Linked DNA regions of Oryzias latipes. The protein of the gene in region 2 purifies or fractionates together with the protein of the main gene of each other region. This does not show direct contact. Links are inferred from orthologs where the notes say so. Each region holds a gene or a part of one and is shown on either strand. Other genes may lie near its edges.

What was found. Proteins that work in one complex are often made in the same cells at the same time.
Region 1: the proteins of ribosomal protein S6 kinase alpha-3 (region 2) and fgfr2 purify together in Homo sapiens (affinity purification with mass spectrometry; 3 studies listed by BioGRID and IntAct, counting the BioPlex papers as one, with this or other methods). This does not show direct contact. The link is inferred for Oryzias latipes from reciprocal best matches to the Homo sapiens genes RPS6KA3 and FGFR2.

What each region holds. Positions count from the first base shown.
Region 1 is NC_019873.2:29,203,719-29,208,937, reverse strand, and holds the start of fgfr2 (fibroblast growth factor receptor 2), read right to left. Parts: upstream 3,458-5,219; 5' UTR 2,895-3,457; intron 1,286-2,894; 5' UTR 1,187-1,285; coding exon 1,018-1,186; intron 1-1,017. UniProt on the Homo sapiens protein: Tyrosine-protein kinase that acts as a cell-surface receptor for fibroblast growth factors and plays an essential role in the regulation of cell proliferation, differentiation, migration and apoptosis, and in the regulation of embryonic development.
Region 2 is NC_019878.2:2,774,067-2,779,285, forward strand, and holds the start of ribosomal protein S6 kinase alpha-3, read right to left. Parts: upstream 3,205-5,219; 5' UTR 3,190-3,204; coding exon 2,965-3,189; intron 1-2,964. UniProt on the Homo sapiens protein: Serine/threonine-protein kinase that acts downstream of ERK (MAPK1/ERK2 and MAPK3/ERK1) signaling and mediates mitogenic and stress-induced activation of the transcription factors CREB1, ETV1/ER81 and NR4A1/NUR77, regulates translation through RPS6 and EIF4B phosphorylation, and mediates cellular proliferation, survival, and differentiation by modulating mTOR signaling and repressing pro-apoptotic function of BAD and DAPK1.

The DNA of each region.
Region 1 (5,219 bases), on a different chromosome or scaffold from region 2:
GAAGCATCTACAACAAGTTCCCACAGACGCCGGCTGCAGTGTAAGCACCGCCACAAGGCACTTGGGGGCGGGGCCTCGCCGCCAGGTCAGTGGATGAGTCCATCTAACATCTTTCTCTTAACAGGTGAGGATGCCGTTCAAACTTTGTCTTTACCAAATCACCAAAAGAGGAAACTGAGAGTCAGATCAGAAGCTTTTTGTGAGCCATCTCTCCATCATGTGACCCCCACACACTTGATCTATAGTCACATGACTCTACAGCTGCTCAGTTCTTTAATCTCTGCACCTAAAGGAGAAGTCAGATACGCACAAATCCTCTTAGAAGTTTCAAAAAGGAGCGTGCCGCTCTGGAAGACTGTGGAGCGCGAGGAGCTGCAGTCTGGAGCCAAACTGTCTGACATTAAACAACAGAGGAGAGCTCAGGCACCTCCTCATCGGAGCTGCAGGAACCGGGCCGAAGCAGCAGAGAGGAGATCTCTTTGGAGGAAAAAAATGCTTTAAGCATTTTCTGAAAAAGTCTGAAAAGAAGCACAGTTCTGATTTTCTTCACTCCTCCTCATGTCTCTCTTGTCAGCATAAACTCCTCCCCATCACGGGTCATGGCGCCCCCCAGAACCACCAACCCGGCTTTAGCGCACAAACACACTGCAGACGGCCCAGACAGCAGTAAAGACGTCTCCACCTCCAGCTGAGGAAACCTGCAGCTCCTGATGCTGAACTTCATTAGTTTATTTGTTTAAACCTCCACACCCAAACTTTCAAGTTTTATCAAATGCAGACCATAAAAAATGTTTTACAGGAACTTTGATGAAATCTGTTTTTAAAGAAGGAAAATTTCAACTTTGAATCAGAAAACGTTACAGTAAATATATTCTAAATTTGCTGACAAAAAGGCACAGTCCTGTTTTATATTTCATAAACAGAATTTTAACTATTTTAGCTGTTAACTATTTGGTATAATTTAAGTATAATGTAAGACACCCCCCCCCCCCCATCCAACAGATTCTTGCCGCTCACCTTCGGGTTCCAAAGTGGCCTCCTCCCTGGCAGCGGTGAGTGGCGGCCGGGCCAGGCCCACGGTCAGGAGGGACAGCAGGATGGCGGCCAGCAGCCAGGCCATCCTGTTAGTGAGGGATGACACTCCCCATGCCCCCCTCTTCCACCTCCCCCTGGACACTGATCCCATCTGAGGGGGTCCGCCCAACCATCAACTGCTGCCCGGTCGGCCGGTCACTCACTGGAATTCACACCAATCACCTGGATTGAAAAAGGGGAGGAGAAAAGGCTGGAGTTGAGGAAGAGGGGTGAAGGAAAAAGTGAGAAAAGAGGAGAAGAGGGTCAGCTGAAATGAATCCTCCAGAACTGATTTAGCAAAGATTTTCTTTGCCTTCCTTAAATGCAGCAGAGGGAGCAGCTCGGAGCTGAAAAGCTGTCAAACAAGCCATGCCACAGACATACCAGAGCTGCAGACACTCGGTTCTAATCACATGCTGGGCAATATTGTCGAAAAACAGGGCAGAGTCATTTTATTGGAGCTCTCGGTGCGTCAAACCTGTTTGCTTCAAACTGCAGCTGCCAAAGCTGGAAGATCCGACTCCAGGAGTTGATTCAACTCACAGAATCAGATCTAGAGAAGCTCTGATAAGATGACCTGTTGCAGCTCAGCCCACCTTCCCTCATATGATGGGCCGGGGAGACAGAAAAGGTCACCGCGCTTTTCCTGCGCAACCTATGGGCCAAACCTATATGCGCTGCGTCCCTAAAAGCCTTTTTATTACATCACTGCGATCTGATTACGGGCTTTAACCGAGTACCGGGGCTCTGAAGACACATATGGACGGCGCGCGCGCGCCGCACACACGCGCGGCTGACAGGCCTCTGGAGGTTAGCTGAAGTCACGCTTCTCTGCGCTTCTTCTGCTCCAGCTGGACGTATCGATTGTCTTTACGCGCAAAGGCATTTGTGGTTTGACTTTTAAAGGGCGAAGACAAAACCTACACAAGCTGTTTACCCTAAAGCCCCCCCGGGGGCCACAGGCGCTGCGGCGCACCTGATGCTGATGCAGATTCAGAACTTCTTCGGGTGTGTTTTGGGAAAATGCATCGTTTTAACCTCTCAATTCAGCTCGGAGTCGCTCCAACATCATGTGAGGCAGAAATAAACTAAGTCATCAGAGCAAAAATCCGCCTCATTACTGCTGTCTGTCCGGAATCTTTCTGCAGGACGAAAAACATTTAAGTTCAAAAGATCCGTTTTTTAAGAATCCAGTTGATTAAACCAGCAAAAGAAAAAAATGACAAATGATTTTCAGCTCATTTAAGGAGGAAAAAGAAGCAATGTTACAAAAATCCCAGGAACGAGCATCAGAGCGCAGAAGTTAGTGCAGAAACGTGACGTGGGACTTTGCGCCGTGCGCCACCGAAGCCTTCATTTAAAGCCACGCTTTGAATGAAATGTTTTGGCGCTGCCTGAATTCCTTTTGACATTCAAAACAGTTGGCTTTCTGCACAAAAGAGCTCGTTTGGAGCCGTTCGGGGATTTAGGGCTCCGCAACGAGCCGCGAAAAAACAACTGCGGTCACGCGCTAATTGGCACCATAAATGCAATGTAGAAAATGAAGCAAAGTAATAAATAACCAGGACAGTTGATGAGGGTTTGGTGCGCGCTTCAAGTAAACAGGCGGACACTTTGCTGCTTTTTCCTTTCTAACATTTGATTTAGGATAAAAGAGGAAGCAAAAACTTGAGAACTTCCACCAAATTACGTAATAACTCAGGTGAAGAAAAGCCCAAACTGCAGAGGGAAGCTTATGAAATTGTTGTTTATAAAAACACAAACAGAAGCGACTGCTTTTTCCCAGCTCTGTTTTCCGTAAACCGAAAAAAAGAACTTACCAGGGAGCCTGGAATCGCGATGATCTGTGTTTTGGCACAGATAAGGACTGAGTCAGTGAGCGTGAGCTGAATCCACAGACAGGAATGTCTCCAACTCCACACAGCGGGAACAATCTGGGAGCCTGTTCTTCGTTTGTTATTCCACAATCAGCATCGACGCGCAAGAATATTCCAAAGCCGTCTGGCTGCGTGGTCCACTGTCTCCAAAAACAAATCCGACTTTACGCGCGTCAGTTATCCTTGGAAAACAGCTCGGTAACCATTGCGCCGTCCCCCCCGTCCCCCCTCAAAACTTTTCTCCCGTCACCGAGTTCCTCCTGCTAGAGCGCAAACATCCCCACCGCTCTCGCGGCGCACTTGTCAGCTAAACACAAAGTTCGTGGGGCTGTAGTGAAGCTGGTGGAGCGCGAGGGCAAAGCTGTCCGGGGCGCGGCGTCCTAAAATCCATCAGCGCGCGTGCTCCTGCGGCGCGAGCGGCGTCTCATGCGTCTCTTCCACCGACAGACTCCGCTCTGCCTTCAGCCGCTTTGTCAGGTTTGGTCGCTTTTTCTCCTTCTTGCGTCTCCGTACACCGCCTTCCTCCTTCCCTCCGGTGGGTGTCATCCCCCCTCCTCCTTCCCCCTGCACCTCCTCTCCACCCACTCACAACCACTCCGAGCGTAATTTGAGCTGCTCCCTGGCTGCAGCGCCTTCGAGCCCGGCCTCCCCTCCGCCCATCAGGCTGCAGACCTGCCCGCGTGCGCGCAGCTCGCTCCCATTAATGGGTCTAACGCGCGCGCCCTCCAGAACAGCGCCGCCCAGCGGCCAACGCGCGACTGCAGCAAACTCATGTGCTGCGCGCGCCAACCGTCCTGGAGCTGATTCAAGATTTTCTCTCTGGATGATGACCGCGGCGGGAAAACATGGAGCAGTTTTTTTGGGAAAGTCTGTCAGATCAGATCTGGATGATGAAAGTCACATTTCAGCGGGAATCCAACACACGAAGAAGAAATGAAGGTTTGGCGCGGTGGTGTTATGTGACCCGAAATAGGAATTTCTCACATTTCTGACATCAATGTGAGAAAAGTTTCAGGAGGAAAGAGACACGACGAAGAGCCAATCACAGCCAATGGTTTCCGTACAGTTGTCCAAAAGTTTGCATGTGAAATGATCATCAATAAGGTTTCTTTGGATCCTGGAGGAACAAACAACAGGACTTGATTTTACTGTTGTTTTATTTTTAGTTAAAATGTTTCAGAGGTTTATTTATTTATTTATTTTCACTTAATTATTTTGAGAATAAACTTAATAAACTGCGACAGACTGGCGACCGGTCAGGGGTGTCCCCTGCTTTCGCCCACAAGGGGCCGAGATAGGCTCCAGCAGCCCTGTGACCCCGAAAGGGACAAACGGATTAGAAGATGAATGAATGAATGAACTTAAGGTGTAACCTTTAGAAAAAAGCAAGCTGCACAGCTGTCCTCTTGCTGCAGTGTCACATTTTAAAGTGACAGAACATCCTTCACTTTTGGTAAAAAGGCAGATATCCTGAGAGTCTCACCCATTTTTTATAAACGTGTTCTCCAGTAAAAGTTCCTTCAAAACATTATAAATTCATAAAAAATCAATATCTCTAAGAGCTTGTAGTGAAATCACAGATCCTCTTAGCCCTTGTGCTGTCTTAGATGACCCCACCCTTACATTGACGTGTTCTCCCTACCATGACAAAGGTGGATAAAGGTGGAAAGATTTCATGTAATCCATGGACACCAGTGAAGATCACAAATCATTGAAGAAAAAAGGTTCAGAGCACTGTCTAGTGGGTCTAGATGACCCAACTCCCAATGTTATAGTACCTAGGATAGCACAAGGGATAAGGATCAGATGTGACCGGACCTTCCCCTGAAGAAACGTTTCGTGGAACAACCGCTCTGTGAGCCATTTCCTGAAGTTTTATTTTAAGTTTGAAAGTTTGAAAGAATTTAGCAAAAGGAAAAAATCTGAAAGTCTGTTCATTTGGAAAGAGTCTGCAGTAAATTGAGTTCCCCAAAGGAAAGTGAAGGCGCCCCCACATCAACGCCAACCACAGCCCGGCTGTCTCTCCCATCACTTCAGGCGTTCAAGTCCTCTGACAGAGACACCCGGGAGGCGGGGGGGGGGGCTCTAATCTCCACAGACTTTTTATCTTTGTCTTCTTTTCACTGCTCAAGTTCTCTTTTCTTAAACAAGAGGAGGGAAATGCTTCCATTCATGCTGAAAAGAGGCACTAACAAGCCTTTCTCTGAGGCGGAGGCTTGGACAGTGAATAGGCGGTTGTAGGTGTTTTTGTCTCTTCCTTCTGCAGGA
Region 2 (5,219 bases):
CTGTGTTGATGTTGTTCTGGCGCCACAACAGTTTGTGTTGCTGCTCCCACTCATTCAAAGGACTACGGAAGAAATAGCTCAACATGTAGTGTACGTGTGGTTCCACACAGGGAGAATAAGTGGTGTTGATGCTGAGATTCTGAAGGACTTGAGTTTGAACTCGGGTCATAGTGACAGCCTTTGGTATTTGGATTTACTGATGTGTCATAGTCATCAACATCAGAGCGTCTCCTCATGTTGATGGCTAATAACGAAGGTGGAGTGTTGCCCTCAGTACACTGAGCCTCTGGTTGGGTCTAAATTCCTTCACTACTCACTACTTAGTTCACTATACAGAGTGCTCACCATTTTCTACTGCTGTCTGAATCTACAATTCCAAAATCCAGTGCCTGGAAATTTCCCAGAAGTCTCTGCGAAAAACCAGTGTGCATAGATGCTCACTAGATTGGCGAATATAGACCATAATGCATTGCATTGAAACAATAGTTGTGAGAAAAAAACATGTATTTCTGTGTGTTTCTTTGTCTAAACTATGCAGGTTTTGTCATCAGAACACAGTTGATTCATAAAAAGTCTTTGTGTAATGTTCATGTTTGTTCAATTTTCAGTAGTTCTGGAGTCGGCGGGAAATTCAGACGTATTTTCTGTCTTATAGTCACTTTATCAGAAAAGGGTATTTGTGCATGTTTTCCTTTTTCCTCCGTTTGCTGCACCTTCTTTGTCCTTCTGTCACAGTAGGTTTCAGTGAGTTTTTGAAGCATTTCAATGCTTCCTGCTCCTGAACTGGTCCCATGAAGCGATGCAGGTTTTCATCACCGTGTTGGGACGGGCAGAAGTGGACATCAGCGGGTTAGAGCGCTCCTGCAAACCTCCTCAGATCGAGTTAGAGCCTCCCAGAGAGCGGTGTAATGCAGTTATGAGCAGCAGACGCTTGACACAAACCCTGCTTCCCCCCCCTCAGGTCCGAGCCTGCAGGGAGGGGGCCTTCAGGACCACTTCTGCCAGTCTGTGCATCCAGAACTCATAGCGCTTATGGAGACGAGGGATCCAGAGAAGGACGTTACACAACAACCGCTGCAGAGCTCACCCTTTCACCTGTGCCAGGCTGTTTTCCTCTGAAAGCTGTCAGTTTTTTTCTTACTGGTCTTTAGGTTTTTTTTCTCACTCTTTAAAAAGTAAAAGCGAAAACCTTCAAATCCTGCAGAGATCCTACAAACTCGCAGCTGCAAGTATCATTCCAGTTCAGACGACGTTTAGCTTCTTCACATGCAGTCCAGCATGGTTTTGATAATGTTCACACTTTGGATAAGAACAACTCCAGACTAAAGCAGCTTCATCATTCCTGACCTTCAGCATCGTCACTCATCCGCTCAGCCTTCACATTTATGCTCACGCTGGAAAAACTTCCTGCACTCTGTGTTTATTTAGAGTCCTACAGTTAAACGTTAAAATGTCACAGAAATGATGGATGCTTTTGGAAATACATACATCTAATAAAACAGCTGGAGGACACAGAACCTCCACGAAAAAACCTTCCTCAGCATTTTATAATTAACATCAAATAAAAGGAATACAACATAAACATTCTGACTTCTCTCCATTTGAAAGTTTTTTTTTTTGCTTTGATCTCATCTTAAAGTCTTCTTGTGAACTTAAAACTTTTTTTTAATGCATAAAAAGTCCAAACAGAGAGAAAGCAACAAAATAAAAGAATCCCTTTTGGAGCCAAAAAGGTCGGGTGATAACTTTCATCCGGACCAAACAGGAGAACCGTGGTCCTCTTCAGAATGAGGATCTCTGTTGACTTGCAGGTGAACTCTGGTGTGCATGCCCACAGCATGGATCTGAAGGAGCAGGAAGCATGTCTGCCGGGTCAACATGGAGTGGACGAGCAGCTTTTCTGCTCCAGTCCTGGTCGGAGCTCGTTTCAGGCAATAGTGCCTCAGACGGTCAGTCTTTGGTTCTCAGGAGAGAACGCCCAAACCAACCTGTTCTCATTTATCTTCTGCCCCTGGGACAGTCCCACCAACAAGATGGCCCTGCAGAGGGTGACCAGGACGGCCGAGAAGGTCATCGGTTGCCCTCTGCCCCCCCTGGAGCACATCTCCAGCTCACGCCGCCTCAGGGGAGCCAAGAAAAGTCCTGACCGACTGATCTCACCCTGGTCATCACTTATTCAGACTGTTGCCATCATAGACCATAGATCCCACACAGCCGTGAAAACAGTTGCTGTCCAAGAACCATCAGGCTCCTAAACACACCACACCCCACACCTTTGTGTCTCCAGATGCACATTAAGACGACGGCTGCCAGTAAAGCATTCTATTCTATTCTATTCCATCCCCAGATGCAGAGGACATGAAGAAGTACGACCGTTTCTGAAAATGAAGCCATAGGAGAGAGTAACCCGCATCGGTTTGAAGTGACAGATGCAGCAAACATCCTGCAGGAAACGCTAAAAATCCGGTTTCAACCACATGTTCACCTGAGTTCATCACCAACTCACGAGGCCTCAGGATGTTTTCGTGCTTCCACCTTCATCTTACGCAACAACAGCTGCTGGGAAGCGGAGACGATGACCTTATTATTGTTGAGAGTGACAGCTGATCCGTGAAAAAGCTGGAGCTGGAGTCCTCCGACACTCCGGGAGGACTTGGAACGGGTCTGACTGCAGCCGTCCAAACTGTTATCTTTACGTGGAACAAAGGTCTGACGGCGGCACACGCCAGTGCAGGAGAGGATAAGCGCGCCGTGACCTGATGCCAATCACACACGTGCACGGCGGCGAGCCCTGTGACTGTCACTCACGAGCAGACTAAACCTCGGCGACACGCTCATCTGTCTGAAGGGCAGCGTGAACCACAGCCCGGCTGACAGCTGAACCTCTGCCGCTGTGAGCTGTCAGAGGCGGGGGGGGGACCCTCAAACATGCAGGGGGCTGGGGGGGTCCCAGTGAGTACTCACAGCCGCACAGGGGGGGTCTGCTGCATGACGGCTCAGGAAGGAGCCCACAGGCTTCCAGCTCTCCAGCCCAGGATTGTGGAAGGGCTCTCCTCTGAAGCTCCGGGTCGGGCGAGGACGGCGGCGGGTGAGCAACAGCCGCCGCAGCGACTTGAGTCTGCTCCTCAGGCCTCTGATGAGGCCGCCGATGGCGCACACGCACGGCGCCGCGGCCGCAAAGTGTGTCATGGTGGCATGAAGTGAGGCGCTGGGGGTCTGAGCAGAGAGAGGGAATACCCGGAGAACAGGCTGGGAAAGGAAGGGAGGGGGGGTAATTCCAAACCGGGATGGGAAGTGGGACCCCCCCCCTCCCTCTTGAACGCGTGAACATGCAGCTGTGACCTTCTGCTTTCCAGATGAACCTGGAGATCCCCACAAGGACACCAGGAGAGAAAAACCGCTTCAGGAAAGCACCGATCGGCCGGCCGGCTGGTTGGCGTGCCCCCCCCCTGTCCGTCAGCTGGAGGCGGGAAAACCCTCTTCTGCACCGTAAATCTGAACGTCCTCAGCTGCTTCAACCGCTCAGACGTGTTAACGTTCAGCCCCTTCCTGCTTCTACTACCGATGCTCTTTATGAACAAACAGGAAAAGCTTTTCAAATCTTTCAGCTTCTTTTTAAATGTTGAAACGTTTGGTGGATGATTTACTTTAAGTTCATAAAAACCTGGACGTCAAGATGCTAAAATGTTCAAATGCGTTCAGTTAAACCCATTTATTTAAGAATAAATAGTTTGAATTGAAGAGCCGATGCTGATCGTAATTATAAAACCATCAACAACATGAGAAAACCAAAAACCACACAGATGAACTTCAGGAAAGACCAGCCTCCTCTGAAGTCTGAGTAACTTTGGTTAATCCTGTAAATCTACCATTTCAAACAAGTGCAAATAAAGTAAACCATCAGTTTAAACATATTGATGATATTTATACTAGATAGATCCTTTTTAAAGTAAAAAACAACATTAACATAACAATCAATACATTTCAGTCCTAAAGATTCAGAAAGAAGATGATTGATGATTGAATCACTTATTGGTTCTTGACGGGATCTGTTGGATCTCACTGGTTTAGGATCCAGAACCCAGACTGAGTCTCCGCTGCACACGGAGGATCTGATCTTCTGATGCTGGACCTTCCAGATTCTTCTGAGCTGCAGATCACCCTTGACTCCGTCCATCAGTCCTCGGTGGGATCGACTGACGGACGGCTGAAGGCTGTGGCGCAGCGTCTTTCTCTGACGTGACCGTGGTGGTCTCCAAACCCCCTCCTGATGTTGCACCTGAACATCCCATAGATGTGGGGCCATAAAGACCTCATTCAGCAGAGAAGCTGCACATGCTCCTTCCTTTGGTTTCTCCAATTTTTCCAGCTGTGAGTTTCACTCAAAGCCATGTCATTCCTGTATTACAGGGAAGTGGGAACTTCCTGTAAAACACTTCCTGTTAGAACCCCAGGATCTTAAATTGACCCAGAATGCAGCAGCCTGGAGGTGAACAGACGGGACCACGTCATCCCACAGAGGTTTGGTTTCTCCTTTGAAGGGCTGTTTTTAAGGTAGCGTTGATGCTAGTGCTCTTTGTCTTTGTGAACATTTTCACGCCGCTGACCAACAGCAGCGTAGAAGTTTGTGTTCTAGTAGGCTGCCTCTTCTGCTCCATTCCCATCTTCATGGAAGGCTCTGATGAAAGACAAAAACGCTCTTTCTCGCATCGTTTTCAGAGGAACGGTGTTCACCCGGAGCAAAAAGTCGTGAAATCTTCTAGAAAATCTGCCTCTTTGACGCAGACATATGTACACAAACGCTGACGCACAAACCAAACGACCCACTGAACGCCGCTGCGGCGCGGCAGGACGCCCTCCAGCACAGACCCAATCCCCCAGCTGTCCCGGCCCACTGCTCCCGCTTACACAATGTACACAATGCTGGGGGGGGGGGCAGTTGACAGGATGTGTGACGCATCTTGGATTACCTCCACCTGTTGTCACCTCCTCGCTCTGCTTTCCACCAACGCCAGAGCTAAGACGGACGGGGCTGAAGGACGCAGCGGCACAGCTGAAAGGGTTTGATCCCCAAATGATCACGGACAACTTTGACATCCTCACAAATGACACACAAACCGACCAATCTGTCTGCTGTGCTCAAAGCAACAGAACTTTGTGTCTTTTCTCATTCTGGATCATTCTGCTTCTATTTTCTAATTGTTCAGAGAGATTTTTGG